Linked DNA regions of Alligator mississippiensis. The protein of the gene in region 1 interacts with the protein of each later gene in a pairwise test. Links are inferred from orthologs where the notes say so. Each region holds a gene or a part of one and is shown in the gene's direction. Other genes may lie near its edges. The genes, in order: NCK2, MEOX2, TRIM41 and VARS2.

Region 1 (7,862 bases):
CAAAACCTCTTTTTCTCAAGGGAAAGCAAAAAAAAATTAAAGTTGTTGTCAAATGGTTGCAACTTGTCACAACCCAAAGGTGTGATTTTTGTTTTTGTGTGTGCTTTGGCACCACTGAATTATTTTCCCACCGTTTGAAGCTTTCTTTGCAGGGTGCATTTCTTCTTTGCAGCATAGAAATGCATGTTGCAAGGAGTTCCCGCCATTTGTATTTAAATTCGAGCCCCATTACTGGTTGCTTTAAAATTATTCCCACGTGGCGGCTAGTGATTGGCTTGCCAGCCGTATAAGAGGCTTGGGTGGTTTCCGCCCAAGTCGGAGAACTTAGAGCACGCTGCAAAGTGCCTCTACGGAGATTTGACCTGAGGCTGCTGATCGATAGACTGATCACCTATCGATTCTTCTCCCCGTCGCCGAGCGCAACCCTCGACGTATCCCTCTTCCCTGCGCACAAACAAGGATCCACGGAGCCTCGACAACTCTGTGAGAGTGAGAGTTTTGTCTGAGTCCTCAAATGGGGATTTAAGCGGAGCTTTACCTGGGAAACTTTCCAGCCTACACTGCGACCATCTACGGTGTAAGTAAACAATCTTGAATCAACCACTAAGCGTCCATGCCTAATTCTAGCGTGTCGCCTGCTTTCTCCGACCCAGCGTGTCTGGGCTGCTGGCCAAAGCCCGAGGCACGGAAAAAGGGCCCCGGATCGCTCCCGGCCCGCACACAACTTATTAAAGTTTTAAAGTAACTTCCTTCCTCCATAACTTTAATATTACTTGCTAAAGTCCCGCTATTTTGGCCTTCTCCACTCACCTAAACCCCCAATGATTAAAAAAAAAAAATTAGCGGGCTTCATGTGGGCAGAGGGGTCTGCTTCCAGAAATTATGGCAAAATTGGATCCCAAATAGTAACTTTTTAAAGAAGAAATTCTACTTTTAGGTTGAATTTTTCCATGCTTGGTTTCAGCCAGAATATATGGCTAAACTGCACATCTTGGATTGCATTAACATACACCAAATATGTACTTATGCACAAGGTCCTGTATTGTCTTCCAACTCTACTAAGTCATGTAATAACTATACTTTTTAACATTTTCTAATAACGTTTTTTCTTTTAAACAGGTATTGTGAGAAAATCCTTTCATCATTTTTAAGTTTCTAATAAAAAAATAAATAAAAATAATCTGTTGTCTTGATATCTTAACAAAGGAAAGCATTGCCTACGTCTGCAATACATGGTACTGCCTCCCCGAAGGCATTCCTGATTCCATACAGGTTTGCAAAGCAGAAAAACAGTGCACCTTTTGTTTTAAACTCAGGACATAGGTTGACAAAACGCACATACTGTGTCTCATGTGGAAAGCAAAACAACTCATTTTACTGAGGCACAGCTACACTCTGTTGTAATATGCATGTTGTGGGTTTTTTCTGAAGAAGTTTTTATTTAAGAAAAAAACAGTCAACTGACTTCATAAGCATTCCTGGCTTGCATACAGACTTATTTCTTCTTGTTAGGGGTGGCAAACATGGACAGATCTAGGATTTTGAAAAGGGGGGGATGCAGATGTGTGGCACATCATCACATATAGCACAACGCATTTTTCTCCAGTTAAAGAGAAACTAGATGCTTAACTGATATACTAGGGGGCTAGCACTATATTACTCAGTTTAAGATCAAAGCAAAAGCAAATATAATTATTGGTATGTGCACAAATTTGCTAGATTATATATACAGTTTAAAAATATATAAGAAGCATGGCAAAAAAAGAGTCTAAAGATAGAATCATAAAATCAGAGCAAATGAGGGTTGGAAGCAACCTCAGAAAGTCATCTAGTCCAACCCCCTGCTCAAAGCAGGACCATCCCCAGCTAGATGACCCCAGTCAAAGCTTACTATAGCCAGGCTTTAAAAACCTCCAAGGATGGAGCTTCCACAACATGTTTGTTCCAGTGCTGTACTTCCACCCTGGTGAGAGTTTTTCATAATATCTAACTTAAACTTCTCTTGCTGCAACTTGAAACCATTTCTCCTATTTCTGTCGTCTGCCACCACTGAGAGCAGTCTAGCTATATCCTCTTTGGAAACACCCTTCAGGTAGCTGAACACTGCTATTCAATCCCGTCTCAACCTTTTCTTCTCCAGACTAAATAAGCCCAGTTCCCTCAGCCTCTCCTCATAAGTCCTGTGCTCTAGCCCCCAAGCCATTCTCGTTGTCCTCCTCTAGACTCTCCAATTTGTCTGCATCCTTTCTGGAGGGGGGCGGGAGGGATGTGCAAAACTGGGCACAGTACTTGAGATGTGAGCTCACCAGTGCTAAATATTGAGAGAACTGGTTATTCCCTTCTCTTCTGGCAACACTCCTATTAATGGAGTCCAGTATGCTGTTAGCTTTCTTGGCAACAAGGGCACACTATTGGTTCATATCCAGCTTATTGTCCACTGTAACCCCCAGGTCCTTTTGTGTCACTAGTTCCGTGGTCATTTTAGTTCAATATGCATCTCTCACTCAAATTCATAACACAAACTCTCCCCATGCCTGAAGAAGGGTGTTTGTGCCCGAAAGCTTGGAAAGAATAATTTCCTCAACTATTTAGTTGGTTTAATAAAAGATACCATATCTACCCAAAGAACCTTTTCTGCCTAACACAAAATCTAGCCTTCTTCAGTGTCTGAACAGTGCCTCTGATACTTCACTGTCACAACCTGAGTTAATTTTATTACACCCGAGTTAAGTTTTTTAGCTAGAGCTAAAAACAGTCTGTAGGGTTGTGAAATGGAAGAGTGGCATTCCCTGGAATAGTTTAGAGACATCACAACATTGCAAAAGCAAGGATAGTTTGAAGAGTGGAACATCAGGACCATTGGAAAGGGGAGGGTGTCCTTAAAACCTGAAGGGGAGGAGAGATTTTTTTTTTGGAAAATTTTTTGTATTCCAAGTTGAATTAGCCAAATCAGTTCTGAATCCTCTCGATTAAGCAACATTCAGTTGTTCAAACACTATATGTGGGGCTATAACCCGCAAGTATCCTCCACCCCAGACTTTTCAGCCTGGGGCTTCAGATACTCCCAAATCCATTGGCAGGCATCCTACATGCAGGCCCAAGACTGGAGGGCTTAGGGTTTGCATGCCCCTGAGTCTCACTTGTCCTTAGCCAATGACCACAGGAGCATGGTTGGGAGGAGTCCCCCCATTTCCATAAAGTAAGTGTGTAGCCAAGATCCTCCCACTGGAAGCTGGGCACTGGGAAGCTAATTACAAGACTCTTAGAGGGCGTCCTGTCCTCTGCATTGGACAGGGGTGCACCCTTCACTACATAATGCCATTTAAATCCCTCTCCGTCTGGGCAACAGACCAGTGCAGCGGCTACACTTGATCTTAGCCCACAAGATGAACCATGAAGTCAGTTGGCTCCGTCTAGCAATGCTGCCATCATTGCCAGGCAGTTGGCTTTAAAATTTTGGATGCAGGGTATAGCTGCACCATGGCACCTGCACCCTTGGACCTGCCCTTGGCATGGGGGTGGGGGCGAGAGTAACCCTAGCAAACACGTTTAAATGCAAAGTCTGCAAGTCGACAAGGGAACAAGTCAGGAGAGGCCAAGCTGCTGGGATCTGACAATGCCAATCTGATGAGCAGGGATACTGGTTTTCTCCGATTTAAAAAAAAAAAAAAAATCCCCAATTTTCCAAGTATAAAAAGTAACCCAAAATCCACATGTTCCATGATTAAAATGAAACACCACTATATCTATTTATATATTAGTGCTGTTTCATATTTGGGGTTAGTAGATATATATGTATACATATATATATATTTGGGTCAATATATATAGTATATAGTTACTATATATACTATACTATAAATAGATATGGGTTACTATATATACTATATATAGAGTACATAGTTGGTTACTATAGGTACTATATAGTTACTATATATATATATATATATATATTTGGGTTACTATATATATAGTGATGTTTCATTTTAATCACAGAAAAATGTGGATTTGGGTTACTTTTTTTACTGCCAAAATTGGGGATTTCTTTTTAAATCAGAGAAAACCAGTCACCCCGCCCTCACCACACTCTCGCCCTCCCAGCCTATCCCGCCCGCTGAGGCGAGCACCGACAGAGCCCAGCTCGCCCCGCCCCACGGGACAGCCCCGCCCCCTCGCAGCCGGCTTTCCCCCTTAGGTCCCGGGCCGCCTTGAGGGGGTGGGGCTCCCGCGGCTGACGTCACGGGGAAGGCCTAATGGGGCAGCGCCGGGCATGTCTGGGTTGGGGAGGGAGCCCTCAGAACGGGCGTCCCTCCCTACCATGCCCCTTGCGTCTTTCTAAAGGCGGGGCTCCCGGGATGACGTCACACAGGAAGCGCCAATGGGTGGGTCTGGAGGGGGCGGTAATCTTTGGGCTATTTATAGCTCGGGCTGCAGTTGAATCGGACAAACGGTCTCGGCCCGTGTGTGAGAAACGCCGATTCAGGGGCTTTGTGCAGCCCTGTGTTGCTTCCCCCCCCCCCCCCGTAAAGGGGCGGGGCTTTACCCCCGAGCGCCCGGTTGTGGGGGGCGGGGCGTGTGCAAGGCCTAGGAGGGACTGGGCGTCTCCATGGCGGGGGCGGGGCGGGAGCCCGGGCGAGGGAGGGCGGGCTCAGAGGCCGCCCCCTTCCCCCGCCCCACGGATCCCGGCAGCGGCCGCGGCAGGAAGGGAAGAGGCAAGCACGGAGGAGGGGCCGATGCCGCCGCCGCGGGGCTGAGCGAGGCAGCAGCCGGGGCCTGGGGCAGCGCGTCCGTCCGGGAGGGGCGGGTGGGGGGCGGCCCCGCGGGAAGAAGGAGGCGGCCGCTGCTGCTGCATCCGCCGCCGACGGGAGGGGGAGCGGGACCCGCCGAGACAAAGAGCGGAGCCCGCCGGGGAGACGCCGCCGCCGCTGCCCCCAGGTAGGCGCGGCCTCGGCCCTTGCCCGCTGCCGGGACGGGAAGGGAAGGGAGGGGAGGGGAAAGGAGGCCCCGGCCGGGCTCACCTGCGGGTGTGGGGGGCGCTGCTCCCGCCACGTCCCGCCCGCGGCGGCCTGGGTCGGGGGTCACGGGCCGGGGCGGGGCGGAGCCGGGGCCTGGGAAACTTGGCGAGGGGAGGGGCCGCGGGGCGCAGGTGTGCGGGAGCGGAGCCCCCTCCTCCGCCTCTCGCGAGGGGTCTGCCCGCGTCCCTCGGGCCTCATCCGACTGGGACCGAGACGGGGGCTCCGTTGCTTTCCGCTCTGCCACCTCCTACCCTTCGGCTGCAGCCGTGTCCCGTTTCGGCCCCTGCTCCCTTCCTCGGGCCCGATCCCTGTGGCCTCTGCTCGCTTCAGCCTTAAGGACACGGGTGTCCCTTCAAGAGACCCGCGCTTTGGGCGGGACTCAGCTTCTTGTGCCCTCAGTGAAGCAGCTTTATAGGGTTTAACGTGTTCAGCATCTGCGGGCTTGTCACCTCCCCCGCTCCCCCCCCCCCTTTTTTTTTTTTAAGCTCTGTGCCATTGTCTTTGAGCAGTGGTGTGACCCCCGTACTTGTCACCGCTGTTCTTCAGCAGCCGTTCAGGAACAAACGCAGCTGTGTAGGCTCAGGTTTGGGTTAAAGACAGCTCAGGGTGCTTTTAACTTGGCAACAAAGGCAATTGGTCTTGAAGTGACTCAATTGTTTCGGAAAGGTAGCATCACGGCGGTCGAAACTAAAATGCTTGGGGTCGCCCCGAGCGGTGGTATCGGCAACAAGGGGGCTGGCACGTCAGCCTTTGTAGTTATTCCTCGCTGAACTTGAGCCAGGATGGCAGCTGCCGACAGCTCTGGGCAGGGATGGAGGGAGGTCCTGCTCTTATAAAGATTGGGATGGCGATTGGTAGTGTGTGTCTCGTGCAATACATAACAGTCGTGAGGGGTTTTGTTTGTTGTGGTTGCTGTTAACTGCATCTGAATCAGCTGCCTAGAAGTGACACACGTGTGCTCAATTTTTTAAGTGATCTCCAAGATTTCCCCTGCAAAAGAAATGCAAAGATTATGTAGTCATTTGTCTTCTGCCTGGTTTCCCTACCTTGGCCTCTGCCTAATAAGTGTCTGAAAAACTGAAATTCCAGCTCCCTCTTAGCTTTCTTTCTCTCTCTTTTGCAGGGGCTAGCTGTCTCTTCTGTTCCTCCCCTTCATTTCCTTTTAAAGTTTCCTGGCTGGTTGCATGGGAGGGGGAGGGGATCGCCTTTACCAGTTTATTCCTTTTATCATCTCTTGGCTTTTGCAGGGGAAGGATAAGGAACACTCTTATTTCTGCTTCTTCCCTCATTGGACACAGTGCTCCACCAGCAAAACAGCTTCTGTCCTAAAGAGACAGGCCCTGCAAAAGAGCTGGGTTGTTCTGTGGAAAGCTGCTTTTTGACTGCTATTAAACTTAAATTGAAGCTAAAGGCAATGCCCTTTTTTACCATGTTTTCAATGTGCAGAAATGATAGAGTCTGCAGCTTGTAGAATGAAATCTCTTCAAACCTCAAAAGTTAAGTAGGGTAGGCTTTGGTCACTTTTCATATGGAAGACCTCCAAAGAAATCTTGAGTTCATATGGGTAATTTAATAAGAGCCCCTGTTTGTTCTTTTAAATCAGTCAAAATGAAGTGTATGGTGATGTTATTGGGCACTGTGTTGTTTCTTCATGCAGCTGAAAACTTGATGACTTGGGTCTGTTTAAGAATCTGTAGTACTTGTATGTGTGGGTATTGATTGAGGTTTCCCAAGACAGACACCATTTTTGATCCTTGCACATTTATTTGGGGAACTCCTTCTTCCCATCTTCCTTTGTTTTGATTAGCTACATTAGTTGTCTTGTAAGAAATTAGACTGATTACATTTTAGTGGTGGGTGAAATAACAAATCCCTAATCAGCTCTAAATAATTATTATAAAAAAACCCTTGCTACATAAATGTAAGATTTAATTTTTAGTCCATAAATAATAGTACAAAGAATACATTTTAACATTTGAAAGCATGAAATAGAAAAGAAAACTTACTTTTTAGAAGAGATCAGTAAATTGTGTTCTACAAAAGAAATGAACATGCTTTCATTGTTAATAAAGCAGAGGTTGCTAAATGTTAAACCTAAGATTAAAGTACTTTTTGTGTAGTTGCCTGGTTCAGCAGGATGCAAAATTTTAAGATAGAGTAGTCTGTTACAAGTTCATACATTCAAGTGAGGAAGAAGACATCTTGTCTAGAGAGAATACCAAACCTGTTAATTAAAAACCATTCCAGGAGCAGTAACGTAGGGTGATCCAATTGCTTGTAGTAACATTTCAGAAATATTTATTTCGTATCATGAAAACTTCTGTTTAATTGGAGCTCGGAATTGTGACATTTGCCAGAATGTGTATACCCCCCCCAGTGACAGAAAAACTTCTGAGATTTCCTTTCTTTCTTTCCTTTTTTTTTTCAGTGGGTGGAAGTCAGTGTAAAAATAATAGAGTAGGTAAAATTCGAGAGGGCCACGTGTAAGAGAAAACATTGTAGGTTCTCCAAAGAATGCTGCTATATGCAGTAAATGTAAGGTTTCATTTGTTTTGTATTAATTTAATGTCTGGGTTGAAAAAACTTAAATGCACTTAAAATGGGGGGTGGGTGTTATAAGGTATTAATGGTTAGTACTATGTTCTAGCAAACAGCCAGGATATCTTGGTTGGCCAACATTTTAGTAGAAGGGGATGGTGATAACCCTCATCAGAAAAAAAAATAGTTTGATATTTAATGTTTTGGGGATGCAGATAATCTGCTGTATTTTTTTTTTTTTTTAGTGGTGAAAGGACTACATATTTTGGAATATTTGTGAATGGATGAAACTGAGGGCTGGGTTCAGTA
Region 2 (7,239 bases), on another chromosome or scaffold:
ACCTTGTAAAAATTATTTTTAGTGAGGGCCTTCCAGTTCAGCACACTTTTTATGTAATAAATTAAATTGCTGGTGTAGCTTTAAAATTTGTAATGCTTTGAGATCATGAAAATTAGAATGAAGTCCAAGTTTATATGGGAGAAGTAACAATAAATATAAACCTGAGTGTTTTTTTTTAATAGACAAGCTGTACGATTTTTTTCCCCAAAATTATGTCTGATACATCTTACATTTGTAACTGCATCAGAAGGCAATGGAAATACACCACCAAAATACCATGTTAAAAGTTATGCATATTAATGACGTTTTCTTACAAAAGGTCTTTACAAAGTACAGTGGGTATTTGTTCTGTTCTAGATCTACAAACAGTAAAAGTAATTTTCATCACCTTTTAACTGTCTGTAGATATTCTTTGTTTCTGACAGGTAATCAACAAATTACTCATTTTCAGTTAAAGGTAAGATAGCATCTTCAATATTAGGTATTAACCTCTGATTTTGTTTTTACTGAGATCTGTAAAACTTCATTGCTAGACAGAGCAAACTGCATTACTTCCAAGGGAATTAAGTAGCAAAAATACCCTCAATCAACAAAAAATCTGAAAATAAACATACATCTGTTGTGAATCTGTATTGGCTCTAATGTTGAAGTAAGGATGCCTGCCTTGACCAAGCTGCCCTGAAAAAATGCACACTAGTCATAATTACAGCGCAATAAAATTCCATCTTTTTTTGATAAACCCTTAGGTATAATAAAATCTGTGGATAAAAGGAGCTAAAATAATATTTTTAAGCTTTATATTTTGATGGTAAGGGGCATTTCTTGAGCTGGCAAAAAAATTAATAACACTGATTTCAGTGAAACCATGACAATTCATGTAAGTGAAGGATCTAACCCTAAAATATTTCCATTTGTCTCATTGTACTGTAGCATGCATATACTAACAGGGCACAGACCTCAAAAGAAATGGGCAACACCCCTAATTATCAGCAGAGCTATTAACACTAAAAATATCAGCAGGGTCAAATGTTCAGGGTATTAAAACCTGTTCTAAGAGCCTGAACAGGAGTATAGTACAGGAATTCTGAAGCAGAAGGCACTCCGCCTTCCTTCATATGATTTCTATATCTTGCAATACATTTTAAAATTAAAAAACAGATGCAACCATTAGCTCATTTTAGGAGAGGATAAACGATGTCCAAAGCTAGGTTGGTTCCAGCTGTTTTATGAGCTAAATGGTTTACAGTTCTCAAACATCTAAAACCATTCTTTTATTTTCACTTGGCATTAGAAGTTTAGGGCAAGTTTGTTGACACTGACTACTCCCACATGTAGATCAAAAGTGCAATATAGAAAGAGATAATAATATAAACATGAAACCAATCAATAATATGGAGCTCTAATAAACCTTCATATTTTGCTTCATAGAATTGCTTTTATTTACAAGTTTTACATTAGAATTTTCTTGATTTTTTTTTTTTTTATGTTTCTTTACAGCCTGTTTGCTGAAAGCTGCTTTAAAATTATACAAGCCACTGTGTCACAAATCTACAGATTAGTTATAGACTGATAAATCCATAAGTGTATTAACTAGGATGTTGCAATAAACTGTTAGCTACTAATTTGCTTTAACACCCATTGCATGGCTGTGTTTGCTTATGTTGCTTCAAATGAAAAACCCTTCAAATTCTTGTTTTGCTTACAATGAGAACTTTTGAGACATGATGAGAAGAGAGGCAGGTATTATGGGAAACAGAGGAAGATTAATTTTAGATTATATTGAAAAAAGTATTTAGCTCTCTGATTTTCCCCTCCATCATTCCCCTTTTACCTTTTGGATGCTCTTCTTGTACAAAAAAAAAAAAAAAAGAGTGCAACATGGCTCTGACTCTTGCTTCTCTTGGAAAGTTAATCTTTACTTTTCCCACCATCTCCTCTTTTGCTTCACTTATTCTGCTTTTTATCGTAGAAAACATGTGCCAGTGCCCCCTAACCTCTAGAGTTAAACAACTCAACTGAGTTTGATCTGGAACATTATATTTTTTTAACCCGTTCTTCAGCTGTTTAGATATTTTATGCCTCAAACGGTGTCAGTCTCGCTCTTTGCCTTCTATTTTCTCCCTCCTTGTTCAACATTTCCAGAGCCTGATTGACTGACAGCAGCAGGTTGGTAAGAAACTTCGGGACATGCTGTTAACATCTGACGCTGGAAGAGTGCTCAGCCTGGGCACGTTAAGGGAAGTCGCACCTATTAGAGATGAAAGAGCTCTGTGCCTGATGACTATTTACAAGGCACCTGAAACAAAATGCATTCCCTCCCTGTCCCCCATCAGCTGTTTACAGTCAGAGGGTTTGTGCTGGAATAACCCCCCTCCCAAAAAGAGAGGGGAAAAAAAAAAGGACTTGGATATACTGCATCCATTGCATGAATAAGTTAGGGGTAAATTTTGTTTTGGCTCCTCCTGCAAAGCGGTGCTAACAAAGCACTCCCGTTAGTGAACCTCTCACGGTTCCTCCTTCCTGGGGCCCTGAGCACTACGTCTTCTGGACCAAGCAGCAGCGCTCATCTCGCAGCGCTGGGTGCTAAGAAAACAAGTCACAGCTCAGGCATCGCCTTTGCTTTGTACGCTTCCTTTTAATATTAGAGCACATATTGAAACGATAAACAATGAAACGCACAAAATATTTCATCAGTGTTGTAACTGAATATTTCCTTTATTCTGAAGCAATATCAAGGGGTGACCAGTGCAAAGCAGCAACAAGACTTACTGCTGCTTTGGACATCACATTAGATGGGATTGTTACAGCTAAAACTAAGTTAACACACTATTTTGTTTTGGGGTTTTTTTTCGAAAAAAAGCATTAGATCTAAAAAATTTAAAAAAAAAGGGGGGGAGGAGGGAGGGCGACTCTTACCGTCTAAAGACTGCTGCAGGTTCCGGCTCAGCCTGAAACTGCCAGGGCAAATGCAGCAGCTGCTGAACAAAAGTTTTTAGATTTTTTTTTTTTTTCGCGCAGAAAGTCTGCAAAACTAATTTCCCACAAAATAGGGCTCAATTTCCGTTTAAGTAACTAGCTCTTGCAAATCTCATGCAATTCCTGATTTTTTTTTCCTATAGCGACTGAAATTCTTTTTTTTTTTTTAATTCTTGACACACGGACTCCAGAATTAAGACACAAATGGCAGGACCCCTGCTGATTTATTTATTTGGGGGCGGGGGTTAAGACAGAAAACGTTGCTTGTGGGTGCTCCCCCTTGCTCACGCACACGTTGGTGGGGGGGTGTACAGGTGGGCTGCGCTGGCGCGCGGCTCCACTGACTGCATCCCCTGCGAGCAGCGGCGTCTCAAACTCTCTCCGCCGTGTCTCACCTGAGACGGCGAAAAGCAGCGTGGGGAGGTATTAGCTGCAGTCAGAGAACAGGAAGATGTGAGAGAACTTGGTCCTTTTGGTGTGTGTTGGGGGGGTTGTTTTGTGGTGTTGATGGCAGCAAGTGTCTTCCACTGACCATGAGGCGCTGGTGTAACCTCCCGCAAACTCACTCCCTGGCCTCTCGGCGCCCGTTTCCCGCCCGAGCCCCGGGGCCAGCAGAGTGCGGGGAGCCCTGTGCAGCGGGGGCCACGCGCGATCGGCCCAGCGGAGCGTTATTCGCGCTGTTTGTTGCTGGTCACCCCGGGTGCGGCAGAGGGCCCGGGCCGGGGCTAAGGGGGCAGGTGTGGGGCCAGCAGGTGAGGCCGGCAGGGGCGCGGGTGCGAAGCGGGCGCCGCCTCCAGCGCGCACACAAGTTCAGGGGCGGATGCGCGCAGCAGGAGCGGAGCCGGCCCCTCCTCCCGGGGGGCGGGGGGGCGAGCAGGCGGGTGCGCGGGTCCCAGGCGGCGGCGGCGGCCCCGCCCGCGGCGGGCTGGGCCGGGCCGGGCCGGGCCGGGTCCTGTCCTGTCCTGTCCTGTCCCGCGGACGCGGGGCTGCGGGACGCGCCGGAGTTTCGGAGGGAGTTTGCACGCGGTCAGCGCGGCGCGGCTGAGCCAGCCCCCGGCTCACGTTACACGCGCCTGTATTTATAACCTCCCGGTAAGCGGCGGGTTCCCCCTCAAAGCCGCGGCGCGGGACCACCTTCCCCGCCGCTCCCGCTCCGCGACAGCCGCGCGGCGCCGGGACCTGGCCCTGGATTACCCGCGCCCCGCATGCCATGGATCACACCCTTTTCGGCTGCCTGCGCAGCCCGCACGCCGCGGCGCAGAGCCTGCACCCCTTCTCCCAGTCCTCGCTGGCCCTGCACGGACGCTCCGACCACATGTCCTACCCCGAGCTCTCCACCTCGTCCTCCTCGTGCATCATAGCGGGATACCCCGGCGAGGAGGGCATGTTCGCCAGCCAGCATCACCGCGGCCACCATCACCACCACCACCATCACCACCATCACCACCAGCAGCAGCAGCACCAGGCGCTGCAGACGAACTGGCACATCCCCCAGATGTCCTCCCCCCCGGCCGCGGCCAGGCACAGCCTGTGCCTGCAGCCCGACTCGGGCGGCCCGCCGGAGCTGGGCACCAGCCCCCCGGGGCTCTGCTCCGGCGCCTCCAGCCTGGGCACCAGCACGCCCACGGGGGCGGCCTGCGCGCCAGGGGACTACGGCAGGCAGGCTCTATCCCCGGTGGAGACGGAGAAGAGAGGCGGCAAGAGGAAAAGCGACAGCTCAGGTAAAGGCTTCCCCTTGCATTGGGGGCCGGGGGGAGAGGGTGGTTGCCTCCTGCCTGAGGGCCCCGGCGACACCCGGCTTCGGAGCGGGTCGTGCCTTGACCTTCCCTCCTGCAGCCCGTGGGGCCGGGGCATGGACACGCCGGCACGTGACAGCGCCTGACAGGCCGGGCCAGGAGGTTCCCGCAGGGCCCGGGCCCGGCGGGGGCAGCTTCCTCCTGGCGCGCTCCGCCGCCCCCCGCGGGAGCCCCGCGCCCAGCTCACCCCGGGGTCAGGGGCCGGGGCCGGGGGGCTGGCGCGGCTCCCGGCGGGAGAAGAGCTGAGGGATCGAACAGTTCACTTGGCCTATCTGGGGGGAGCCCCTTGCCCCCCTCCGCCGTCAAAAAGTAAAATCGAAAAGTTTCTCCCATAGTATCTTGGTATTGGTGAGCCGCGCAGGGAGATGGTGCTTGATCCTGGGGCTCGGCGACAAGTTTCCCCCGTGCTCAAATGCCATTCTTGTGAATGGCTCCGCCACGGTAGCAGGGCTTCTCTGGGAAGGGATGGCATTTCTAGTACACGGGGAGGAAAGAAGGTGTGTGAACACGTGCACACCCACCCTCTCTCTCCTGAGATGTGGGCACGCACACACACACACGCACACTAGTGGGACAGGCACTGTAGTAGGACATGCATTCACACTCTAGTGGGACAGATGCGTCACAGTCTGGTGAGACGCAGGAGGTAGTGGGATAGGGCAGTACACACACACACACACACACACAGAGTAGTGAGACATGCAGGAGGTAATGGGATAGGGCAGTGTGTGCAGACACTCTCTCTGTGTCTAGTGAGACAGGAAAGTGTTTCCCCCATTGGAAAGTCAGGAGCAGACAAACCAAGTTGTACACTACCAAACTTTGCAAAACCGGGCTCTGTGTTTACAAGTTGGAGAGAGTCATGGCTTCAATGCTGAACACTAGTAAATATTTGGAAAAAATCCTTTCACTTTCTCTTCTCTGGCAGCAGTTGGTTTTTCTTTATAAAACAGAGTGGTTCTCCCCCCCCCCCGCCCCCCCGTCTTTTTTTTGCTCTCCACATCATCCAGAAAGCGTTGTACCCCGACTCGCAATAAAACACTAGGTTAGTTAGTAAGCTTCTTATGCACTAGGGAATCTATTGCTTATATAAAATAAAAATATACTTCCAACTATAAAAAAGATGCTACTTATGGGCATTTATTTGGAATGACATCTATATCTTATTTTATGAAACAAATTGCATGTACTTGACCAGGTGAAAGATGTGGTGATTATTTTCACCAGTTTCTAATGAAAATAATTTTAAGCCATATGGTGCATGAGAGGAGTCTGTGAACTCATCAATTTATTTACAAAGGCAGAAAACAAGAGAGAATTCATCACTAATTTATAATGCTAGGGAAATGTTCATTACAGTTTTTCATTTATTGCAGTTTGCAATGAAAAAGCCCACACCCGTGCTGAAATCGTATCTATCTCTGAAGTCAAGGGTGTCTTTCCAATGGCTTTTGAACAGTATTGATTGAGACTTTAGTTGTGATGGCTTCAGTACAATGGTGTAATCTAGGGTTTGCTTTCTAAGGCAGTATCTGAATATAAAGCTGCAGAGTGGAGGCATAAAACTGTTTTAACCCAAATAAATATATTAATCTATTTATTATTGCAAAGGCTTGAGTCAAGAAGGCCTGCCTTAAGCTTTCTTCAAAAGAGTGTTGCCTGCATGCCACTACTCAACCCCTCCCACTTTTTCAACCTGAGCTTTTGTCCTAAATATTCAGTATTATGGTAACTTATGACACCAAAACCTGTTTTTAGGTCAATCAGTCTGTTTCTGCAATTACCAGCAGTTATTGCTTATTTGACTACTTTCAGTGAGAAATATACAGGATGGATTATTTTGTTCTGAATCAAAATCGTGTTCTTTTATTTTTCTTTTTGTCTTAATCATACCTTTTTTTTATAAAAGTAATGCTCATTCTGAGAAGTTTAATCCTCCACTTTAATGCATGTTTACATATTAAATTATGATTGTAAATAACGAAAGAAGGAGGCTGTTAAGTTAGTGTGTGGTGGTCTTAGACACCAGTAATTTAATGTTAGTGTATATTTCAGGATAAATTTAGTATGCTTGAATTTACAACACGAATTTAAAGGAAACATTAGATATATTTTTACTCTGGCTATATTCCACATTTCAGAACCAAGTTAGCTTTGAGGTTGCCCATGTCTTGAAATATTTTGCTTTTATTATTGTGATTTTTTTGACATCAGGAATGCTGACTCATAAAGCTGAGGTTTGAGACTTGTCGTCTTAAGAAATTAACATGATTAAAATTACTTGCACTATTATTATAAAAAGTAGCTATATTTACTCAAGCTTATAGAACTGTCACACAGATTTGCTAGTGGAGATGCACAATTTGCCTATTTTTCCCTATAACGATGGGAAAAAAAAAACATTAGTGTGATTTTACTGGTCCATCAAAAAGTTCCTTTCCTAACAGCATGCAGAACTTCGCAGTCC
Region 3 (7,196 bases), on another chromosome or scaffold:
TGGTGTTTGGATGCTTATCTTGCGGGGGTCATTTGACTGCAACAGACTTCCTGCCTATGATAGGGGGCTGGACTCGATGATCTCATGAGGTCCCTTCCAGCCCCTAACGTCTATGAATCTATGAACCCCTGGCACAGGTGCCACAGCATGGCACTTCAAGACATTCTGCTTGGCACACAGACCTTGGGGAAGGGGCTGGGGCTGCGCTGCCACAAGGATTGGGTCACGCATGCCTTAGAATCCACAGTTTCATTACACAAGAACCTGGGACACAGGGAAAAAATCACAGAGTCCAGACAAATGGTGTATACTGGGCACTGTACAAGCATGTACCGATGCTTTCCTGCTTTTACTTCTCTCTCCTCAGGTGTAAGGACCTGAGAACTGAATAACTAGCAACAATAGTAGAGGGGTCAAAGGCCAGGGAAGCTGGGAAAGTCCATGGTAAGACTAGGTTTGGGACAAGCCTGGAAGGAGCCTTCCCAGCCACCTAGCACAATTCACTGTTTGAGGCTTGACCAGAGAGGTCACAAGCACATTGGGATCTCTCCAAAGCCATAGCCATAAATGTGCTGTGAAAAGCTCCTACAAGGTGCCATAGGTAAAGAGCAGGGGAGGCAAAGGGGTCCTCACTGCTTTGCTACTACACCCTAGGGAATTTGGTGGATGGTAACATGGTCAGATGATCTTAGCAGAAGGATCAGATCCAATTCTGCAGGGAAAAAAGGAAGGAGAAAAACACAGGGTCCTTGCCCATTTGACAGGGGTGGGGAAGGAGACCTTTCTGACTTCAAGCATGGCAGTGGTTTTTGTCATGAAGGTGTGAGCCACATTTGCACTTGTGCTTAAGTACGGGGAGTAGGGCTCCCAGTCTGTACTCAGTGTCCAGTGCTTTATAGTAAGGGACAGACAAAAAAAACAAAAAACAAAAAACCCCACAAGCAAAAGTCAACAGCCAGGCAAAATGCACTGTATACATAGAGGCTGACTTTGAGATCTTGAATCTTGAATCCCCCAAAACCATGCTCAACCCACTAGCCAGGAGCTTAAAGATTTGGCTTTGTTTCTGTCCAGTTTTGAACCGAACGCGACAACCACTACTCTACAGAAACTAGCTACAGCCTCTGACAGTAGAGGTATGGTATGTCAGAGACCTGGATACACCTGAAGTTCTTCAAGGAGTAAAAGCAAAGGCTTCTGTTTAAATGCTACTTCGAAGAGTAGCAGAGTAGCCGATTGAGGACACAAAGCCTACCAGATGGGGGCTTGCCTTAGGATCCATGTGGCTTAGTTACACACCTACTTGGGACACCGGCGATGTGAAGAAAATCTCCTCAGAACCCAGACAAATGGCCTACACTGGGCACTGTGCAGGAGCAGATACTGATGTTTTCCAGCTTTTACAGATCTTTCCTTGAGTGTAAAAACCTGGACACTGAATGATATAAAACAGGTAGCAACAGTCATCAAAACCCAGACACAGCTGGGAAAGGATCTGCAGAGGGCAGATTTGAAATAACAAGCCTGGAAGGGGCCTCTGCAGCCACCCCACCTAATCCACTGTGTTTGACACAGCCACTTGCCCAGGGACGCTGCAAGTACAAGCTGTGAGACCTCTCAGAGGCCACAGCCATAAATGCTCCACGGTGAGCGCCTACAATGTGCCCCCAGGTAAAGAGCAGGTCAAGCAAGGGGGTCATCAACGCGTTCCCACTGCAGTAGTAGGGAATTAGTTTGACGGGAACATGCTCAGCTGATCTTGGGAAGAGGATCAGGCCCAACTCTGCAGTGAAAGGGAAGATAAAAAAGCAGGATCTTTCCCCACCCGATGTGGGGGGTGGCCATGGGTGGGGAGAAAGTATGTGGCAGTGAGTCAGAGGTGCAGTTTGTATGTCCTGTGACTAGTGCCATCACTTCCTAACCCTTGTCTCCCTCACACACATGTACAAATAAGTAGCCAGCTACTACTGCTTTAGAGGAAGGGAAGAACACACAGACAAGAGAAAAAAGATCAATGTCTCCTTTTAACATAATGTGGATATTGAGAGTGAGATCCTCTTCACCTGGATTCTCAGTCTGCATCCGTTCCCCTATGACACATTCAACGCAGCATCTCCAAGAATAAGACATCATCCAAGAGTTTAAAGGAAGCACTTTGTTTCTGCCCGGTTTCGAACCGGGGACCTTTCGCGTGTGAGGCGAACGTGATAACCACTACACTACAGAAACCAGCTGCGTGAGCTTCTCATCGAAGTGGCCACAGCCTGATCCATCGGGTCCGCATCTGGATGTGGCGTGTCCTTTTGACAGCCTGGATATCCTGCCACACCTGGGGATATAGCTTGTCCTTTGGACAGCCAGGTCTTGTGACCCCCCACCCCAGGTAGGGTTCCAGATACCTTAATGCAAATTCACTGGAAAAGAAGAAATAAGTACAAGGCAAAAAGAAAAACAAAACAACCCCCCCCCCCCCCCAAACAACCTCAAAATACAGCCCCAAACCACCTGGGTTTGAAAACTGATATTCAATTACTTTCAGCATAAAGCCAAAAAACCTTGCACCCTATCCCACCCTCAAGATCCTTCTGGATCAGATCACCTGTTTGGTAAAGGTTGCGGTTGAGTGAAATAAGCAGTACTTTCAGAGGTGGGAAATCAAAAAATATCACCTTTACCTAAAGACCCTTGTCTGCAAAAGGGAATGCGGTTTGTCAGCTGGACACGTCTCCTTTTTCCCATCTTGCTGGGCATGAGACATTATACTAACTTGGTGACAGAGCTGTGCATTATCACTCAGATCCTCCACCAGGGATTTGTAATGTCTCCGAAGAAATCTTTCTGAGTGCACCTCATTCTGGAGGCAGCAAAAGATGACTGGCCATTGGGCTGTTTGGCTATCCTAGCTGAGGGAGGAAAAAGAATAAAATGGGAATTTAATTTGGTTTTATGAATCGCTCTGTGTAGGAAGTGCCTTCTCCACAATCTCTCCTTACGATTTCTTCCAGAACTCAAACCAACCCAGCTTGCAGTTGCTGCAGGGGCAGAAATTCATACGACATCCTGAACAGAAAGGAAGAAATGTTTTAAACTTAAAAAAAAAACCCCAAAAAAGGCACTCGCCCAACGTGGGGCTCGAACCCACGACCCTGAGATTAAGAGTCTCATGCTCTACCGACTGAGCTAGCCGGGCTGGTGTGCGCTGAGCTCGTAAAACACTGCTGAAGAACTGCTACTTGTTTCCAAATCGATGGGCTATTAATCCCGGAGAAATTGACCGCAGGAAAGTTTTTGGGTGTCGCTTCCGGAGTGAAACACCGCACAGGGAACCTGGGATGACCACTCCCCGCGCGAGTCACGGGCAACAGGAGCTGGGGGATTTTTTTGGCCGATAGAAGCTCGATGCCGATATGTCAGGGCTCGGTCTGTGATTTAATCATCGTTTGAATGATGTTGCTATCATCTCCTCGCATGTCCCTTTGCTCGGAATAAATCAAGAGGAAAGACTATGCCTCAGACATGTCGCGTCTGGACGAAGAGGAAGAAGAAGAAGAAGGACTGCAGCCGGAGCAGGCTCTGCTTCTGCCGTGGCCGCTGCCGCTGCCTTTTCCGCCCCCACCGCAGAGCTGCCCCTCTCAGCCCCGCCCCCCTGTGCTGGCCCCGCCCCTTCATTCACCGAAGCAAGGTTCGCGCTTTGGAGCCCCGCCCCTTTGCGCAGGCCCCGCCCCTCTGGTAAAGAATCCCCCACTCGATCCCGCCCCTTCGGGTGCCCGCCCCCGACCTCCCAGGCACTGAGAGGCGGCTAGAGCGCCCTCGCCTCCTAGCGGAAATGATCGAGAGTAGGGGACAGAGCGTCGGCGGCACTTCTGGGAAGGGATCGTTGCTTCCCAGAGTTGCTGAGCGGGGGAGGTGGGGTGGTTGTGACCATAGAGAGGCAGCAGGGCTGAGCGCAGATCGTCCCCGCATGCCCTAGCTCCATTTCCGGTGTTGCCCCCATAGAGACTGGGGTCAGCTGGTCGCGCTTTTCCGGGGAAGGGATCGGACCCGCGGCAGAGGCTCTTCCCGACTTCCGGGAGTGAGAACCATAGAGCCGCCTGTGTGTGAGAGCAGAGTGCCGCCGTTCCCATGGCAACCCGGCGCTTCCGCCCAACAGTTCCGGGGAGACTATCGAGCCCGGCAACGCGAAGCTAGAAAGTCGCCGCCCGCTGTGTCGCCCTGGCGAGACAGCGCAACGGGCGGCCTGAAAACCATAGAGAGACGGGGCCTAGATAGTCCCGGGGGGCGTTAAAACACAACCACCAGCGGGGGCGGAGATCGAGGCACTTCCGGTCACATGACGTAGCACCACAGAGAGCGGCGGGTGTCGGGCTAGAGTGTCCCCGGCCGGCGCCGAGCGGGCCCGGGCTCCGGCGCTCGGGGGTCCGCGGCGATGGCGGCGACGGTGGCGGACGGGGCGGGGGCGGGGGCCGGCCCGGGCGGGCGGCTGAGCGCGGTGGACTCGCTGCAGGAGGAGGCCGTGTGCGCCATCTGCCTCGACTACTTCACCGACCCGGTGTCCATCGGCTGCGGACACAACTTCTGCCGCGTCTGCATCGCGCAGCTCTGGGGGGGCGATGGCGATGGAGACGGGGACGCTGACGGGGCCGGGCCGGGCCAGGCTGGCGGGGAGGCGGCCTACGCGGACGGGGCGGCGGCGGCGCCCGCGGGCGACGTAGGCATGGGCGAGGAGCTGGAGGACGACGAGCTGGACGAGGAGGATGAGCTGGACGAGGACGAGCTGGACCAGGAGGAGGAGGAGGAGGAAGAAGAGGAAGACGACATGTGGAGCGAGGAAGATGAGGACGCCGACCTGTGGGAAGACGCGGGCGAGGACGACATGTGGGAGGAGGACGTGGGTGCCGAGCTGTTCTTCGGAGACGACGACTACGATGAGGACGTGATGGAGGAGGAAGACCTGGAGGTGGAGGTGGAGGAAGAGGAGGAGGAGGAGGAGGAAGAAGAGCAGCCACCCCCACCTCCACCACCGCCTGGACCCCTGCTGCTGCCCAGGCCTCGACGCCCCCAGGCCTTCACGTGCCCCCAGTGCCGCAAGACCTTCCCCCAGAGGAGTTTCCGGCCCAACCTGCAGCTGGCCAACATGGTGCAGATCATCCGGCAGATGCACCCGCACCCCCAGCGGCTCGTGGTGCCGGCCCCCCGGGGGCCCGGGGGAGCGGCGGCCGTGGCGCCCGGGGGACTGGAGGGACGGGCCCTGTGCGAGAAGCACCAGGAGCCCCTCAAGCTCTTCTGCGAGGTGGATGAGCAGGCCATCTGCGTGGTGTGCAGGGAGTCGCGGAGCCACAAGCACCACAGCGTCGTCCCCCTGGAGGAGGTGGTGCAGGATTACAAGGTACGAGGAGGTTGTGGGGGCCATCCGGAGAGGTCCCGTTGTGCTGTCGGGGTTGGGGCGCAGGAGACGGGTGGGTGACCAGCAGCGGTCGTGGAGGGGGGTGTGCTTGGCTTGACTGGGTGGTTGGTAAGGGCTGTTGGTCAACTGGCTTGTGGGGAAACTGGATTTGGGAGCGTTGGGTTGCTTTGTGAAGTTGATTAAGGGGTTGGATTTATGGGGGTGGTTTTGCAGGTAGGAGATGCGTTTAGTTCATTCAGGTGCTGGTTTGGGGTAGGAGTTTACATGGTTACGTTGGCTTTGCCAGGTAGCACCGATGCCCCGGGGCTGTGTGGTGTGAATTGGGTTGCTTTGTAGAGCAGCGAGGTTAATCCCACTGAGTGTTTTGGTAAAGATGAACAAAGGTTGGCAGAGTCTGGCTGAATTGGTGCCCGTTGGCATGGGTTAGAGCAGGGGCAGGCAATTATTTCGGATGGAGGGCTGCTTACTGAGTTTTGGCAAGCCATCGAGGGCTGCATGATAGGCAGCCAGGGGCAGATAAATACGAATTTTCTAAATTTTTCAGGGGCCCTGGGGGCCAGATAAAATGGTTTGGCGGGCTGCATCTGGACCCTGGGCCGCATTTTGCCCACCTCTGGGTTAGAGGCTAAGGGCTTGTAACTCCTGCAGGTGTGCGCTTAGATTCACAGACTACTAGGCCAGAGGGGACCATTGCCATCACTAGATTGACCCCTCCATAACCCAGGCCTAAGAGTCCTCTAATTGACTCCTGTTTGTACTAAATCTAATTTCTTACTTGCTTTATTAATTTCCAGTGATGCCATCATGACCCCCCCTGCTAAACACTTCTAAGATCAGAGCCTTTGATTATGTATGTAGTTTGCATCTTTTACAAGGGTGTTGTGTATGGGGATTTCTCAGGAATCAATGTTGTGAAAGATCCTCCTGGGGAGATAAGCATCCAAAATTGGGCCTGAGCTGGTGAAAGAGTAAGTTGCACGGGGAGGACAGCAGCAGTGGGGGTCTGGAGGGGAGACTGTGAACTCTATCCATGAGATTGTGCAGTTAATCAGCACATTGGTTCTGCTAACAGGTTTAGTGAGATGTTTATTATCTACACAGTACCCAAAAGTGTTTTAAAAAAATAGGGAAAAAAAAGAGACATTTTTATTTTTAAAGAGATACTGTGAACTTAAAAAATTGCCTGGATGTCTTGCATCAGCTAGCACCACACTGGACTGTTCACCTGTTGTCTCTTACTCTTAGTTAGTAGCTCTTTGGGGTAGGGACCATGTCTCTGTTCTTTATCTGTAATGGCAAGCACAGTGAGGGCCCTAGTCCATGACTGAAATTTGTAGCCGTACTATTTCTGCAAGAGATTACTTAGTGTTACTTTGAAGCCAGGAAGAATGCAGGGTAGAGATGCATGCATCTCTGATTTAATTAGTCTAACATTTTCCCAGAAAAGCCATATAAAAAGCAAGCTATCAAATAGAGTGATTTGGATTCAAAAGATAAGGGAAGCAGGAGAGTGGGGGAAGGGAACTGTGCGGAGAGAGGCAAACGAGTACTTCTGCAAAATTACAGCTAACGCCCTGAATCAGCAGACTGTGGTCTGCAGGGAGAGCAGCCCCATTGCGTTCAATGGCTTTAGATAAGTGAGTAAAATGTGTGTAGGCAGGCAAGGTTCCTTGGGTGAATCTGATATCTTTTATTAGACCAACCCAAATAGTTGGAAAATAATTATTAAGCAAGCTTTCAGTTTCAAAAACCCTTCTTCAGGCTAAGGAAGTTTCAGCAGTAAAGTGTGTGT
Region 4 (7,671 bases), on another chromosome or scaffold:
CCACATGTTAAGGGCAGGGGGAGAGGAAATGCAAGGTCAGTTTTCTCCTGGGCATGTGAAATGATTCCAGGGGCACCAGAAGAACAAGAACTGCTGATTTGCTGGAGCACTGAACCCATCAAAATGTTGTGGCAGAGAGATTTCTCCACTGAGGGACGGTGCCTCCTGCTGCTGGAAAGGGAAGAACCACCGCTCCTTACCTGCTTCTGGGCCTTGTCCGGGGCACCAGCCTGAGCAGCTTTCATGTGCTGACAATTCCCAGGTCTCCTTGGTTTCAGGGAAGTCTGCAGTAGGACAGAGGTCTGGGTTAGCTGTACTTGAACCAGCCAGAGGCCACTGGGGAGTCTCATTTCCCCATCACCTGAACCAGCCCCTTATTGGGCACAGAGGACTCATGGGGGCATAAGAAAGTGTCCAGTGAACACTGACTCTTGGAATGTGAATTATATCACTGATTGTTACCAGGGCAGCACAACAAGGCCCAAGCAAGAGCAAGCCTCTCTGTGCTGGGTGCTGCACACATGCAGTGAGAAAGATCAGGGTTCTCAGCCTCAGAGCTGCCCACACACAGGGATCAGGTCTGTCCCAGCTCAGCCACATGGTTATGAATCTTGCAGCCTTGTCACGTGCTGGGGCAGACATTCAAGCCTCTCCCACTGCATGCAGGACAGACACGCAGGCAGTCAAACCCACGTGGAGGCCTCCACCCTGTATCTCACCTGACTCCTGGTGGGGTAGGGGCTCCTCTCTGGGCACGTGAGGTGGCTTGTCCCAAGGCCCCGAGATTTCCATGTCTCCTGACTCCTCCAGAGGCCTTTCCGCACAATGGGCATTTGGCAGCTCTGCCCAGGAATCACTAGGTTCCTGCAGTGCCCCAGTTTGCTGCATCTCGTCTGAGGACACTTCCTCGGCCTCCCCACTCATTGCGACCTGGAAACCAGATAAATGAGTCACTGGGGAGCCTGGATCTGGGAGAGATGGGGCTGGGAGGGAACATCTCTCAAGCACATGGAGACAGGGACAGCAGCATCCATGATCAGGATGAAATGTTTTCACCTGCAGCTTCTCATCCTCCTCCTGTCCCAGGGTCATGCTGCACCCCCACTCCCAGCTCTGCATCTCCTGGAGCAGGATGGATAGGAACTGCTCCAGCACCACCAGCTCCAGAATCTGCTCCTGACTGTGGCTCTGGAGATCCAGCCAGTGCTGGCTGAGGTCCCACAGGTGGCCAAAAGCCTCCCGTGACCCCTTGGCTTCTGGGTAGCAGAGGCACCTGAAGCATTGAGACCAGGTCCTGGGTGGGGAGGTCATCCTCCAGAGCTGTGGGGTCTCTGAAGGAATCTAAGCCTCGGGAAGGGAGCTGCATGGCCTGCATCATCTCCTACCCCCGGATCTCCTGGCACTGGACCAGCTCCTGCAGCTGCTGCTTTACTGCACGTGGTGCCGACCACCTCGGGGATGCTCCCTGACCCCAGGTTGGATGACAGGAGGGAGCTGTCCTGCCCCCCGTCTCCTGCCCAAAGACCTCCTGGGTCCTGCTCCTCCAGCTTCACCTCAGGCTGCACCAAGGCTGTGAAGGGAAGGTCCACAGCTGCCATGGGCTTCAGCTCAGCAGCCACTGTCTCCACCAGGAAAGGCCTCACCCAGCCGGGGCCCTGGGCTCTCGCTCTCCCTGCACTCATGCATGGCACCTGCCGACAGTGTCTGGTCTCCAGGGCCACCTGTGGGAAAGGAGAGAGTACAGATTTCACCACCTGATGAGAGATCCGGGACCGTGATCCTGTCCCTGCCTTGAGGTCTGCCCAGCCCCGTCACCCCCGGCTATGCCCACTCAGAGCAGCCTCAGGGTTGTCCTCGCTTCCCTTCCTGCCTGACGTACGCAGCAGGAACCGGGCTAGCTCCAGAAACCCCCAACCACAGCTCCTTCCCCACCCCAGCCTCACACCTGCTCTCAGCCTCCGCCAGGCCCTGCTGTACCTGCTAGGCACCTGGAGTGGCCCATGTCCCACATCCCCACTGTCCCTCCAGTGCCCTCACAGCGCTGACTCCCCTCTGCCACAGGGACACAGCTGCCCTGCCCAGCCTCACAGCCCCTCCCGCAGTGCCCTGCACATGGCCCCAGCTCCTCTTAGCCCCAACCCACAGCCACGCAACTGCACCACGGCCAGGTTGCGTTGGTCTGGACAGTGTCTCCCAACACCTCCCGGTCACCAGCCAAGCCTCCTGCCCCACATCCCCTCATGAGCCTGTCTCCCAGGGTCCCTCAAGTGCCCCCACAGCACCTGGAGTGGGCACAGCTCCTCCTGCCCAGCCCCACAGCCCAGGGCCTCTTCCTAGCCAGAACCTCTGGACACGTGTCAGGGCCCAGAGCCCCTCACCCAGGTGGGGTCTGGCTCTGGTCCGGGGACAAAACCCTGCAGCCCCCTCCCCACCTTCCTCCGGGGGGATGGGCAGGGTCTTCGCCCCCAGGTGTAAGGCTGCAGAGAAAGCAGCACACATCTCCTGCTCCCCCCCAGCCCAGCCCTGCCCTGCCCCATGCCCCTCACTCTCTCTTCCCTCCCTGCAGTCTCCAGGGCTCCTGGGAGCTGCAATACAAACCCTGGGCTCCTCCCACCATGGAGTCAGCCACAGGTCATACCTGCTGCAGCTCCCCCTCTCCCTGCATTAACCCTTTGTTGGCAGCAGCCGGCAGGGCAGGGCAGGGCTGCTCCAAGGGGTGGAGACCCTCCCCCTCCCCTGCTGGGCTCAGGGAGGCACTAGTGGGGGGGGGGGTTGCCCCTCCCAGCCTCACTCTGCTCCCAGCCCCCTTGCCTCAGTTTCTCCTGCCCAGTTGTAACAACCCCCTGCAGTGTCAGGCACAATCGCTACAGCTGGGGAGGAACTGACTTGGTATCGACTGTCCCAGGGGTTAGGGTCAGAGGCCAATGGGAAGGGACAAACACAAGTCCCTAGGCATAAGGACGTTCACTTAAAGCAGTTTTAAGGACAAGATTGCTTTTTGAATGCAAGTCCAAACCAAGGTCTACCGTGTGCCATTCCCCCCCGCCCAGCAGGTCAGTCTGCAGGGAGAGAAAGATGGGGGGCAGAGGGAGAAAAAATTATGTGCGGGGGCATGCATGTGCACCCCCCCAGCAGGTAAGTCTGCGGAGGAAGAAGCAGGGGAGCGGGGTCCAGATCAAGGCCCCTGGGGTGAGGAAGGGAGTGGGGCCCCGGCTGGGCCAGGTGGGAGGCAAGTGGAGTCCCAGGGCACATGTGTCCGTGATCTGCCAAAGCCTCTCTCCTTCAGGCAGAAACCTCCAAGAGCACGTTTCCAGCCTAGCTGTGCCTCTGTTGGCCTACACAGGCCCCATCACATTGCAAAGCATGCCCTGCATCCGGGAAAAGCCATGAAATGCGCTTTTCCCGGATGCCATGAAATGGGCCATGAAAAAGCCATGAAATGGGCAGTCAGGGGCTGCCTGGACTTCCCTTGCACTCTAGCTGCAGTTGGTGAATTTGGTGCTGGGGGCGGGGGGTTAGACAAGCCACTAGAAATCAGAGCAGGGATGGGACAGACCTCCCCCAACACACACCCACCTTTGGTGAGGCTGGATGCAGGGGGACCCCCACACGGTGGGCACCATTAGCCGCGAGGGACCTCCCTGTGGATGACTGGCTGCTGGGGGGGCACGTGCTCCCCCCCACTCAGGGGGCAGCAGTCACCCACGTGCAAGACTAAGGGGGAGCTGATTTACATTTGCATGGCTGCTTCGTTTTTGAGCTGGGTGTCCTGCCCCGCTCCATCTACCCCACTGCCCCTAGGAAGGATGGGAGCAGCCATTCTGGGCAGGTGCCGGAACAGCTGCAAAGCGCAAAGACAAATGCGCTTTGATCGCTACATTTCAATGTCTTTGTTTTACTGAGATCTGGGGGCGCTGAACCAAATCAACTCGTCTGCGGCCCTGGAAAGTGCCAGTTACCTGGGATCTGACTTCCCGGTATGGCAATCTGCACCAAGGACTACAGCCACCTGCCTGCGGACGTCACCTATGACGTCAAGATTCGCTGCTGCTGCCCCTCCACCAGCAACACAGCGCCCGGGACAGCCGGCCCGGCCCGGCCCCCCGGCCACGGCGAGCACCCGAGGCAACAACTGCGCTAGGAGCAGACCCCCAGCCCCGCAGCGCTGCCCCGCACCTAGACACAGACTTCCCAACACCCCCCGCGCTGGCTGCGTCACGGATCTCCCGCACGGAGCACCCCTCCCCCTCCCCTACAAACCACTCCCGCCCCGAGAACCGGTGGTTTTCTGGACCCGGCGGCAGGGAGAAGAGCCGAGGGGCGGGGCATGCCCTGGCCCCGCCCCCACCAGGAAGTCCGCCCAGCAGTCGCACCGCCCCATGGCCGCCCCTGCGCCGGGACCTGGAGCCGGGGCCGTCGGCTGGTGCGTGTCGTGGCGTGTCGTGTCGTGTCGGGGGCAGGGCGGGCGGCCGGGAGCCCCGGGCGGGAATGGGGAGGGCCCGGGCAAGAGATGGCGGCTGCCGCTGGCCCCCGGGCCCGGCTCGCGCGCGGCTCAGCCGGATTTGCTTCCGTGAGACCCAGCGAGGCGCTGCGGCCGGGCACGGGTGTGCGCGCGCACAGACGCATGCGCACAACCACGCACGTGCACGTGCAAACACACTCATGCAAGCAGATGCACGTATGGGCACATGCACACTCATACACCCACATGCGCGAATGGCCACGTGTGTGCACATGCATGAACACTCATGCACATAGACACACACGTGCATGCACTTGCATGTATGGCTCAGTGTGTACACGTGCAGGCATGGACACGTGCATGCATGCACACTCATACACATATAGACACACACATGTGCATGCACATTCATGCACCTGCACATGGACACATTCAAACTTGTACACACGCACATGCACATCTGGCCATATGCCCTCCCATGTCCCCCTACCAGTCACCTATGGGCACATCCATGCATGGATACCTTCACATATGCATGCACACTTGTGCATATGCACACATGGACACATATAGACATGCACACACTCGTACACATGCACAAACATACATGCACATGTTCACACACACCTGTACACATGTGGGCTGCTGGGCATGGCTGTGAGACAAGCCAGGGCAACCCCTTTCCCTTAGAACTGTGATCAACTGCACCAGAGTTGGAGCTGGAGCCGGGGGCAGGATGATTCCCGAGCCCAGAACTGCTCTACCTGCCCAGGAAGAAAGCCTGTGGCATCTCAAGGCAGGGCCTGTAGGCCTGCAGGGTGCTGGGATTGGCATGAGCTGTTTTTAACCTTTTAAACAAAGGTAAAGAAGCTCAGTTTGGAAAATCTTGGGACTTGTTAGAAAGGCTTTTGAAAAGGGGACGGGGGGGGGGGGGAACATCCTCCTTGTGAACAAGAGTTGCACAGTCCTTTCATGCTTCCCTCTGGGGAAGCCTCCATGCAAAAAGTGTCCTTTCAGTATTTGCCCCAGACTTCTAATTCTTCCATATCCGGCCTCAGAGGGGACAAATAAGAAGAAAGAAAAATACCCCTTAAAAAATGTCCCTGTATCAGATACAGACATAGACACAGAAACTTGCATCTGCCTTGCCAGTTTCCCCAGGAGGAAAGTGGGGTCTAGTGCAGTAGGGCAGCAGGGAGCTGGTACCCCTGGGTTGCATGTGGAGTTGCACGTGCTCTGTGTTGTGCTGCCTGTGCCCAGTCTGTTCTTTGTCCAGCATCAAGCCCTTTATGGCGCTGGCGGAGCGAGAGGCAGGTTGCATTGTTCTGTGTTGCACTCTGCAGGTCCCTCCTCTGTGTCACGCCAGACAAAGGGGCCCCTTCCCCTTGATGGGCTTCAGCTGGCAGCTGGACCTCCCTGCTCCTAAACATGCTGCTGAAAAGGGATGGATCCATCAGGAGTCGGTGTCTGAGCTCCCTCCACCAGCTGCTTCAGCTTTGGACCAGACCTGGGCCCTGGGCCATCCCACCCGGATGGAGAGCTTCATCCGATTCCAGGATCTCAGCACAGAACTGGACCCAGCTGAAAAACAAGGCAGAGAAGCAGAAGAGGCAGCACAAGAGACTGGAGTCCATTGAGGCTGGAGTGGCCCAGAAGTCAGCGGTAAAGGCTCCGGGGTTACTGGGGAGAAGGTGTGGGGACTCTCTAGCTGGTGCAGTCCCCTCACAGCCAGTGCTGAGCCCAGTGCCCCACTGCAGTACTGGAAGATCTGTGCTGCAGGGAGCAGGATTAAGGCTCTGTCATTCTCAGTCACCTCTGCCCCAAGTGCCACATCTTTGCTAAGACTGAGGACGGGTCTGCATCTCTGTTCTTCAGCCACCCTAAATATCCTCCTCTACCTGCCCAAGCTGCACAAACTGCCCCTCTCCATCTACATTACCTCAAGGTGGCAGCAAGCAGAAAGCATGAGAGAGACAAGTAGTGGACGGGCTGATTCCTAGAATGGCTCTATGTGGTGGAGCTCTTCCTATTTCTTTTCCTTGGGTGGAGCCCTCCTAGGACTTAGTCTCCCTGCTTTGTCATCTGTTTTGCCATTAGCTCATAAGCAAGGAAAGACAGACCTATTTGCTGCACCGTGACAGCAGGATGAGGCCCACCAGGAATGTCAGACCATCCTTATCAGCTAAAGAGAGGTCACTAGGTACACAGTAAGTGTTTGGGATGACAGGTTTAAAAACAGGGAGGTAAGGGAAGGTTACAGGTCAGTAACCAAGTGCCAGGGAAAGTTACGGAGCAAAGAGTCCCAGCCAGCACCCACTGCTCCTCGGTGGCATTTAGGGAGCCAGTGGACTTCATCTAGTGAAATTCTGCTCAGAGAAGTCCACAGAAAGGAAAGAAAGAGCCTCACAGTTGCCCAGGTCCCCTCTAGCCAGCATCTCCGTCCTGATCTCATAGAAGGACAGTTTGACCAAGGCCCAAAGGAGATTTACCGGGGGTCCCCACAGTTTTGTGGTGCTACGGATGGAGTAAAGTGCAGCTGAGTCAGTGGTTGAGAGTGAGGTGCTATAGAAATGTTACTGGTGCCGTTCTTGTGCTTACACTTGGGGAAATGATGAATGCTCAGGAGGGAAGGGCTGGCAAGAGGGAACCTTGATGCTCAGAGAATTTGAGTATTTTGCTCAGGCTTTTTAACATACAGGATCTGCAGGCCTGGGCTAGAGGGCTGTTCTATCCTTTCCTGTTACCGTGTTGTGTGGTGCTGGGCACCAGTTAACCAGCTACCCTACCCCAACCTGCATTCCAGCACTGACCGCCCCCTGTATAAATAGCCTTTGTAATCGTCAACACAGTAAATAGCTGCACTTTGTTAAATAGCTGTGGGGTAGTTTATATGGAGATGGATACTGATTTCTCTCTCAGCATCCTCTTTGTTTTTTCTCTTTCCCAGGTGCCTCAGAGGCGGTCTAAGGCATGGGTACCAAAAGATGTGGTTTTGTATGACATCCCCACTGCGCCTGGTCAGAAAAAAGGTACACTGGGGAAAACGTCATTCCTTGTGCCCCCTCGAGTCTCCTTCTGGTATAGGCATCCCCTGTCACGCAGGTACATCCTGGAGCAACCTTCCTGTCTGTCCCTGCTCCCTAGGCCAGACATTGACACTGCCCCTAGAGAGAGGTTGTCAGAGACATTTGTCTTCAGGGCTAACCATA

Evidence for each region.
Region 2: the proteins of NCK2 (region 1) and MEOX2 interact in binary tests that used the Homo sapiens proteins (3 or more experiments, as listed by UniProt). The two-hybrid records come from large-scale screens. The link is inferred for Alligator mississippiensis from reciprocal best matches to the Homo sapiens genes NCK2 and MEOX2.
Region 3: the proteins of NCK2 (region 1) and TRIM41 interact in binary tests that used the Homo sapiens proteins (3 or more experiments, as listed by UniProt). The two-hybrid records come from large-scale screens. The link is inferred for Alligator mississippiensis from reciprocal best matches to the Homo sapiens genes NCK2 and TRIM41.
Region 4: the proteins of NCK2 (region 1) and VARS2 interact in binary tests that used the Homo sapiens proteins (3 or more experiments, as listed by UniProt). The two-hybrid records come from large-scale screens. The link is inferred for Alligator mississippiensis from reciprocal best matches to the Homo sapiens genes NCK2 and VARS2.

The regions. Positions count from the first base shown.
Region 1 is NC_081824.1:347,833,339-347,841,200, forward strand, and holds the start of NCK2 (cytoplasmic protein NCK2), read left to right. Parts: upstream 1-4,654; 5' UTR 4,655-4,935; intron 4,936-7,862. UniProt on the Homo sapiens protein: Adapter protein which associates with tyrosine-phosphorylated growth factor receptors or their cellular substrates. Maintains low levels of EIF2S1 phosphorylation by promoting its dephosphorylation by PP1.
Region 2 is NC_081828.1:164,601,454-164,608,692, forward strand, and holds the start of MEOX2 (homeobox protein MOX-2), read left to right. Parts: upstream 1-3,880; 5' UTR 3,881-4,186; coding exon 4,187-4,697; intron 4,698-7,239. UniProt on the Homo sapiens protein: Mesodermal transcription factor that plays a key role in somitogenesis and somitogenesis and limb muscle differentiation. Required during limb development for normal appendicular muscle formation and for the normal regulation of myogenic genes.
Region 3 is NC_081834.1:51,430,445-51,437,640, reverse strand, and holds the start of TRIM41 (E3 ubiquitin-protein ligase TRIM41), read left to right. Parts: upstream 1-3,888; 5' UTR 3,889-4,426; coding exon 4,427-5,386; intron 5,387-7,196.
Region 4 is NC_081834.1:53,002,563-53,010,233, reverse strand, and holds the start of VARS2 (valine--tRNA ligase, mitochondrial), read left to right. Parts: upstream 1-4,321; 5' UTR 4,322-4,423; intron 4,424-5,805; 5' UTR 5,806-5,890; coding exon 5,891-6,124; intron 6,125-7,409; coding exon 7,410-7,491; intron 7,492-7,671. Other genes in the region: zinc finger protein ZFP2, read right to left, coding at 201-284, 720-930, 1,554-1,682. UniProt on the Homo sapiens protein: Catalyzes the attachment of valine to tRNA(Val) in a two-step reaction: valine is first activated by ATP to form Val-AMP and then transferred to the acceptor end of tRNA(Val).